2 linked regions of the Cricetulus griseus genome follow. The protein of the gene in region 1 purifies or fractionates together with the protein of each later gene. This does not show direct contact. Links are inferred from orthologs where the notes say so. Each region holds a gene or a part of one and is shown on either strand. Other genes may lie near its edges.

Region 1 (4,552 bases):
TTAGCAGGCTATCGACCAAGATGAAGGTGAGAATTAAAGAGTCCCAACCACAAGGCAAAACAGGGTTTTCTTTTGTTAGTTTTTTAGTACAGTATTCTCCATGAATTTCATGATAGTCTTGAGATCACAATGCTCCTACCTCAGCCTCCAACTTCCAACCAAAGAGAGGTTTTTGTTTTTTGTTCTGGGATTACAGGCTTGCATGAACCACCATGCCCAGCCCTGAAGAGTTTTAATAGATCCTTAGGATGACTGGGCTTTGGGAGAACCGGCCCTCTTTCCTTCTCACACTCCCTCGTTAGCAACAGTTCATAACCGCCCTAACGCTGCTACAGTTTAACTCAATGCCTCCTGTTGTGGTGATCCCCAACCATAAAATTTTTTCGTTGCTACTTCATAACTATGATTGTGCCACTGTTATGTAATGTAAGTATCTGATATGCAACCCCTCTAGAAGGGCTGTTTGTCCCACAAAGGGGTCTCGGGACCCACAGGTTGAGAACCCAGCCTTACTGGCTTCCTTCAGACTCATTTCTTGTGTTAACATCTGTTTTCCTCCATACAAGGCCTTCTACCCATGCAGGAGCTTCCTATTTGCTGCTGCTTCACCAGACAAGTTAAGACCAATGCCTCAGTGCTCCATCCAGAGCATGGGGGAGTCAGAGACACTAACATTAATAATAGCTCAGGTGAGTGTGAGAAGTAATGCTGGAAAGATTAGACATAGCTGGAAGCGCTCCGGGAAGCACATGGGAAACACAGAATTAAATCCAGACAATGGCATTTAGTGGCGAACTAGATCTGCCCTCCACCCAGAGAAAGTAGACTGTTACTCGGGACCGCTCTCCTTACCCGGACTTCCGCTTCTCGGGGCCTCCCGTTGAGATCACACTTGGACCCATTGCCGTAAGTCTGGCTATGGTAGCGTTTCAGCCGATGCTGCTTGGAGGCCTGGAGAAAAAAACATCAGGAGGGACAGAGAGGGTGTGACAAAAAGAAGCAAGGTAGAAGAATGACCCCAGCCTCTGGCAGGGACCCCGACATCACAGGAGTCCCGATCCCAGGGGACTTTGTCTTGATAGGCACCGAACCCCGAGATTCACACCAGCTAACTCTTGACTCTCCCCTGTTGCCTGAGCTCTCAGTCCGCAGCTAGGCCTGTACCCATTCTGACCCCACACTCCTGTTACCTTGGCTGTTTCATCATCCCAGTTGAAGGCTGACTGATAGTAGCCGAGGTAGAGGACGTCACCTTTGATCTCTGAGTCTGTAAGAGAAGCAACAGGAAAGCACATTATTCTCGCTCGTTATGATATCTAGAAGGGAGGGGACTGGAAGGGAAGGGCGGTCCCCTTCCACACATGACAGTGAAAGCTTGGGGAAAAAAAAATCTAAGAACGAATCACCTTCCATATGGTACTGCTGGATATGGCGTCCATAACAGAATTCATAAGTCCACCAGTCCTTGGTCTGACAATTAAAAAACGAACCATCAGGGGGAATGAAAATCCCTCTTTTTGAAAACAGTCTCCTGGTTCCAAAACATATAAACTCCCATTTAGTTCTCATCTCTCTCTCTGTTTTCTCGTTCGTTGTCCAGACTCTGCGAGAAGGGACAGCTGTCTCTTTCATGGTTGGAAACACACATCTAAAATATGCCTACTTTCCATATGTGTCCCTTTTTCTTTCTTTCTTTCTTTCTTTCTTTCTTTCTTTCTTTCTTTCTTTCCTCTTTCTTTCTTTCTTTCCTTCCTCTTTCTTTCTTTCTTTTTCTTTTTTTTTTGTCGGGGGACAGGTGAGACAGGGCCATGCCATGTGCTCCAGCTTGGGATCATAGACTCCCTGCCCACCGTAAAGATAAGACATCGTGCTATCCTTGAAGCTCTCAGACGAAGACTCCCAGAGGTTCAAGCATTAAATGAACTCCCCCCGAATACAATGGAATCCTGAGTTAAGACCAAACAGGGGCAGCTGGCGACTTTCTGGGTAAGCGCCTGCTCCTCCGTCTATCAGTAACCCTTCCCCACATTCAGCAAAGGTGATCTGTGGATGCAAGAGTCTTTGACCTCCACACATCGTCTGTAAATATATCTAGTACACCAGTGGTCCCTGAACTCACACACACACCCCGCGCCCGAGGACCCACTCCTTCCCTAGCACTTCAGTTGTCATGACTACATCCCACCCACCGCCCAGTCCTTTCACCTTCAACAGACAGGGAGCATCTCTCATTGGGCTCAACAATTCAGGAATCCCAGGCCCTTGGTAAGCGGGTGCCTCTTCCTCCCTTTCCCGCTGGAAGTGAATGGCTCCAGCTGGCAGGCGGCACTCATAGCGCTGTTTATACTTCGAAGACACAACCACCACGTCTGAAGCTTGGCTCTGGGAAAGAAGGGTCGGGAAGGGGGGCAGGGAGGTAGAGGCTGGGATCAAGAACAGCGAGATCCCTCTTCAGACCCTGGGGAAGTAAGTGCCCAGTCGAAGACAGAAGCCACAGGTCCTCCAGCTTGCATTGTCCGGGCGGCGGGAGGGCGGGCGGGCGGACGAGCCGAGGAAAAGGGCGCTCTCACTTCCCCACCCGGCGGAGTCTGGGTGCTTTCACCGTGACCCGGGGACCCGAGGTGCACAGCGGGAAGCCCCACCCCTGCCGGTGCCAGGTCCCCCGGGAATGGGTCCGCCTGCGATTGCCAGCTGTGCCGTGTGCGCACCAGCTGCCCTTCTCCACCCCCTTAGTCTCCGGAGCCCGGCTCGCACCTGCCCTTCCTCCTTCACCGTGTGCGAGCCCCTTCTTCTTGCATAGGACCCTCGCCCCCACAGCCCTCACCTGCCCTCCCATGACAGGCAACGGCAGGATCTGGATGCCATAACGCATCTCGCTCAGCTCCTCCAGATTCAGGCTCCCGACGGCCCCCGTCAGCCGCGCGGGTAGCAGGAGCCCGAGCGATAGCAACCCCAACACACTGGACAGCAGCGTTTCCGCCGCCATCTTCCGCTCCGTCTTAGCTAGGGACGCTCCTTCCGCCCCGAACCTGGCAGCGGCTTCACCCTCCCATTAGCGCCCGGAGCTCTCATTGGCTGCTCCGTCCATCTCTCTTACGTAACCTGTCCTCATTTGTAAACGTGGCGTCAAAATCTCCAGGGAGGCGGATCATCGCTGTTAGGGTGGGTGTGTGTGGGGGGGGAGAGAAATCAATCTCTGATCATGATTGGCCAGGAGTAACAACCAATCATCAACGAGATTGAACCCCGCCCCCTCGCTCTTTATTCCTGAGAGGAGTGGTCTATGGCTGTGTTCTTTTTGAGCGTCTCTGCCCTTGCCCAGCATAGCGCTTCTGATCACTTTGTCATGGATTTTTTGCTATGTATGGCGCCCCCATCGGGCAGAATATTGAGGCGGATGGTGGGGTGGGGGGTACCTTTGGAAGTAACGTAATGCCTTTTGCAAAAACAATTACTATACAGAAGCATGCCGTACAGAAGCATGCAAGTATATATACACACATACTACTTTAGGGCAATCAAATAATCTGTGTCAAAACCGGAATTTGTCCTTCAGTGAAATTATCTTAAGGGGCTGAGTGGGGTAGTGCATGCCTGTAATCTCAGCGCTTGTCAAGCGGAGACAGGAGGATCAGTAATCAGGATCAACCTCATACATATGGTGAGTTCGAGGCCAGCCTGGGATACATGAGACCCTAATCTCAAACACACAGACACATGGCAGATGACTTGTTTAGCATGTGTGACGCCTTGCGTTCAATACCCTCACACAGTATAAACCAATCATGCTGGTATACACCTGGTATCCAAGCAGTCATCCTTGGCTACATAGAGTTCCGCCCAAGCCTGGAATGCAAGAGACCCTCGTCTCAAAAGAAGCAATAACGGAGCCAAGAGTGGAGGCAGATGCCCATAATTACAAGCTGACACAAAAAGACGGAGAGTTGGAGGTCAGCCCAGCTTCTACATGCAAAATCTTGAAGAAACAAACCAACAACAGCAAAAAACAAACAAAAACAAATCCCCCTCCCAAAACAGGCATGGGAGAGGAAGGAAAGCAGGGGAGAAAAGAAAGGAGAAAAATAAAATAAAGGGGGCTTCTTGTCAAAGTTGGGGTAGGACTGAGGAGCTTGGGGAGAGCATTTCTTTTGTTCAGACTGTAAGAGAAAAAACCTGTGAGAACAAAGCAAAAGGGAAACGAGGCAGTGGTAGGAACATTTTGGAAGTTGGAAATCAAATAGAATGATAGCTTGCTTAGCAACCCTGAGAATATTAATTCCTAAACAACAGCAAGTGAGAGTAATAACATTCCTTTGGGAAACCTACTATGGGGAAGCTTACTACCCCCGTAGAGAAGGAGATCCCAAGAATATTCTTATCAGTCTTATCGTAATGAAATAGACATGAATCCTATTATAATCACAGTCCCTGGCTGTTCTGGGACTCGCTCTGTAGACCAGGCTGGCCTTGAACTCACAGAGATCCACCTGTCTCTACCTCCCGAGTGCTGGGGCTAAAGGTGTGTGCTACCATCGACTGCCCAGCTACACAG
Region 2 (4,427 bases), on another chromosome or scaffold:
GGGAAGCCACCTCTAGCCACACCTAACCTCGTGCCTGCCAGAAGCTCACAGGGTTCCTTATCCTACAGGCAGCAGAGCCTGGGCTCAGAGCAGGTCCTCTGACCTGGGGAGAAGACCCTAGGACTGCTGGGACCTGGAGCCCCACTGAGGAGTGACAGACGAACAGAGCCTTCTGCAAACCTGCCCAGGGTTCTCTATTGCTGGCCCCTTGCTGTTTAGGGCTGTCCATGCAGACTATCCTGGGCTCTCCTATAAACTTCTCACCTCAATCTCTACCATCAGCTGTGGCCAGGGTTTGAGACCAGTCTTGGTTCTTAGTTCAGTCATGATGTATGCTAGCGCTGCTGACATTGCAGCCCTGGGCTGTGGGTTAGAAAATACTATGTCCTCTGGGGATGGGAGTCCCTCCAAAGCAGGGCCTGGGCTCTCTCACCAGGAGCTCTGTCCCTCCCCAGACTCTACCTGGCACTGTCTGAGATGAAGGTTTATTTTAGCTCAAGGTTATGCACTTAAACTGTGGCCCTGGGATAGAGTCCACCCTCTGGCAGCACTTTGTGACTTTTGGGTCAGGATTGGACACTCAGGGAAAGGTCTCTGTCTGGGGAGTCACCTTGTGTGTCTGTTCTCCAGGAACTTGGAAATGATTTCCTTGTTGAGAGTTTGCTCCAGATGCTGCATCTTGCCTTCATCAGGCAGGATGAAGATGGCAGTGGCGTTGCCCAAGTAATCCATCAGCAGCACCCAGCTGGACAGAGTGCTGCAATGGTGCACATCAAACATGCCCAGGCGCTTCATCATGGGCACCTTCACCGTGGTGCTCTGGTCCACGTGGAAGTCAGCTTCCTCAGTGTTCTCTGCCCTGAAGGGCTTCTTCCACTTGCCTGCAGTGTATGGGAAGTAGGAAGTAGGAAGAGGGCTCAGCCAGGGAAGTGGTGACCCAGGGCCTTGACTTTTCACAGGGGACCACTACTAGACTTCAAAATGCCCAGGGACTTTGATGAGGGTAACTTGGGACTAAAGGACTCACACTTTACAGATCACAGAAGCTCACAGCTACCATCCCCATTGTCTAGAAAGCATTTCACCTGTTAGATGTGTTACATGCTTACTGAAAGGTGACCTGGGGTTATAAGTGGAAATCTTGACAGCAATTCTATTTGCTAGCTTCTTATCAGGGTGGCATGCTCATTGGTAAGTGTGAGTTCAGTTGTCACTCAGGACACCTCAAGTCCCTTTCTACATCTATGGGTTCAGTGTAGATGGCCATTTCAAGTGTAAGAACACCATCAAGGTCATTGGAGTGGGTAGGGGTCTCGGGGACCCATCACCAATGCTGGCAGAGTAGGCAAGGCCCTCAGGGATCCACCATAATGGCCCTCAGAAGGAGCATGGAATCAGGAGCCCTAACCCTGCCTTATTATTGGATAGGAAGAGGTTGGGGAGGAGTTAACATCTGCCCTTGTCACAGAAGAGCCAGGACTTGAGCTATGCTGACCATGGCCTGATATTCTGCTCCATAAGACTCTGCTTAGAGGCAAAGGAGCCACGAAGGGCAGAGAAGCTCCTGACTTTGACTCCCAGACCCTCCTCAGATGTTTTCTCTGGGGTACAGGTGCTTAGCATAGAATCCTGACCTAACCACTTCCAGGCAGGAGGCTGTGGCTAGGGTCAAGGAGAGTTGATCAAGTGCTTACATCCAAACCGTCCCTGTGTATACTGTATTTACTAATTCTTTCATCACCTCACAGCAGTTGGCTAGCTTTGTCCCTGGCCATATGGACAGCCGTACCCCAAACATGTAAAATGGCTTGTCCAACATCAAGACAGCAGTAGCAAAATTTAAGCCCATGTTTCCAGAGTTCATACTGGTGTGCAGCAAAAGAGCTGCTCAAAATACGTTTCATGGAGCAGGGCTCTCTTCATACCACCAGATACACTTGGTTCTGAGGTTGGGGAAGAATCTCGTGTTCTGAGACTCCTTCGTCGGGGTCTTCAGTGAGCACGAGGACAGTCAGTCCTTCAAAGAGGTCAGTGGATTTGATGGTTGACAATTCCCAAACTTACTGATGATTTAAAATATGACAGAGTGTACCCACTGGAGAGTCAGGGATGTGATGGGACAGAGTGACACAGCCCAGAGTGAGAGCTCAGAAACCATGGATGAGTGTCTCCATGAGAATCAGCTGGAGCTGGTTATGTCATCTTACCTTTAAAGAAAATGTAATTCACCATGGCAAGAACTGTGTCTTTGTCAAGGTCCTTCACTAAGTCAACTATCTTTCCCTGGGTTCCCTTCTCCACAAAAGCATTGATCACTTTCTTGGCCTCTTCCGAGTCTGTGAAATTGAGGGAGAAGGCTTCTGAGTGGTAATTGTTCTTGGCCTCTTCCAGGAACGTCGCCACCAGCTTCAGATTGTCGTGGATGAACAGGCCATTGCCTGTGGTCAGCTGAAGCTCATTGTCTGGCTTGTTGAGGGTCTGGAGGACGTGATGGAAGCCCTTGTGGATCTCACCCTCTGCTATTTGTGTGAGGTTGAACTCCAGGCCTTCTAGAATCTGGGTGTGAGTGGCACCCTTGGTGCCCAGAGAAAGCATAGCGAAGGCTGTAGCAATGCTCACGGGGGAGAAGAAGATGTTGGTCGTATTGGACTCATGGACCAGCTCCCGGTACAGGCTTAAGGCGAAGTCTGCCAGATTTGAAGCGATCTTACAGCAGGCTTGGTGCTCCTGATCCTGCTGGGAGGCATCTGTCTCCTGGGCATCCTCAGCCAGGAAGCTGGGGACCAGGCAGCACAGGCCTACCAGCAGCAAGATCCCCCTTGAGATGGAGGACATCATTCTTCTGCAAGACACAGAAATGCATGTTGCAAGGAATCGAGGCTGTGGTGACTCCCATCAGCTAACATTTGGCACAATACAAAAGCAACCACAGCCTATTAACGGCTGCTGCATGCCCAGCCTATATCAAGCACTATTTCAAATTGCTATAATTGACAAGAGACTGTTAAAAAGAAAACTAGAGGCATTTCTGTAGATAAAGCACTTGTTATGTAAGGGTGAGAATAGGAGTTTGGAAAATGTGGGCAGAGTAGCCATCTGTAATCCAAGCATGGGGGTGGGGGACAGGGCTGGGCAGAGATGGGATCCTTGAGGCTAGCTGGCCGGCTTGTTAACCAGAAGCTCTGAGCTCTTGGATCACTGAGAGCTCAATAAAGTGGAGAGTGGTTGAGGAAACCACCCAACATCAATGTGAGCCCCCCGTATGCACATGCGCACAGCACACTTCCGCACACAGGCTCACACCTCACAGGCATGTGTGAAAACCAAGTGAGGGAGCGAGAGCAGAGGATCAGACTTTTTTCCATCTGCCAGTGCTGTCCTGAGTCCTCCCATGTGTGAACTCCCAGGGTCCTGTAGGGAGATGATCACTCCCCTGGTAAGGGACATGTTGACACACATTCAAAGTCAACAAACAGCAAATAACACAGCAGGTCTAAGTCACACACAAGGAGTGGTCTGGTGCCTGACCAGTACTCTCATCAGTTCAAGTTCCACCAGCAATGACCTCGAACCACAAGCCCCAGCCCCATTTTACAAAGAGGAAACCAAGGCCTGGGGTGAGAAATGGACTTGTCAGTAATGACAAGGGGAGCAGGGGGTGATCTGGACTAACAGTCGCTTGAAGGTGGGGAAATCATGAGCTCCAGAATCCGGGTGCAGCTGTCACCTCTGTTCCCCAGAGAGACCATGTTGAAGGTGTGGTGATTGTCACAGGAGAAGAGATGAATGGGCACACGGGGAAGTCTAAGGCTGTGAAGAAACCCAAGCGGGCTGGAGAGATGGCTCAGCAGGAAAGAGCCCTTGGTGCTCTAGCAGAGGACCTGGGTTCGAGTCCTAGGACCTATATGGCAGATTACAACGTCCCTGTAGCCAGTTTCAGGGTGTCTGGTGCCTTCTTCCGGCCTCCTCAGTCACTGGACACGCATACAGTGTACTTACATACATGCAGGCAGAACACTTCTACATGTAAGATAAAAATCAGTCTATAGAGGAGAAGGAACACACAGACTGTCCCTACTCAGTGCCCACAAGGAACCTCAGTCCCTGGTGGCTTTCCCTGAAAGAGGGACTGTCACCATTCTACCCTGTGATTCCAGCCCCAGGCTGTGTTGGCTCCCCCTCTGGCAGCCCATCTGCCATCTTGACACCACTCCTGTCTCAGTTCTGGAAGAGCAGAAGTTACTGCCTCTGCTTTAATTCTGGGAGAGGATGTGTGTGATGGGTTCAAATACCCATCCCTGACAGCCCTGTGTTCTAATCCAGGCTCTGTCAATCACAGCTGTGTGAGCCAGGACAAGTCATTGAATCTTTTTGATCCTTGTTTTGCCTTGGGTACAAAGAGGGGCTGGGAGAACCTAGGGCACTAA

Evidence for each region.
Region 2: the proteins of Os9 (region 1) and Serpina1 purify together in Homo sapiens (affinity purification with western blotting; 4 studies listed by BioGRID). This does not show direct contact. The link is inferred for Cricetulus griseus from reciprocal best matches to the Homo sapiens genes OS9 and SERPINA1.

What each region holds. Positions count from the first base shown.
Region 1 is NW_023276806.1:130,592,632-130,597,183, reverse strand, and holds the start of Os9 (protein OS-9), read right to left. Parts: upstream 3,020-4,552; 5' UTR 2,987-3,019; coding exon 2,755-2,986; intron 2,424-2,754; coding exon 2,206-2,423; intron 1,471-2,205; coding exon 1,407-1,470; intron 1,268-1,406; coding exon 1,191-1,267; intron 952-1,190; coding exon 853-951; intron 1-852. UniProt on the Homo sapiens protein: Lectin component of the HRD1 complex, which functions in endoplasmic reticulum (ER) quality control and ER-associated degradation (ERAD).
Region 2 is NC_048598.1:190,875,138-190,879,564, reverse strand, and holds the start of Serpina1 (alpha-1-antitrypsin), read right to left. Parts: upstream 2,839-4,427; coding exon 2,208-2,838; intron 882-2,207; coding exon 611-881; intron 1-610.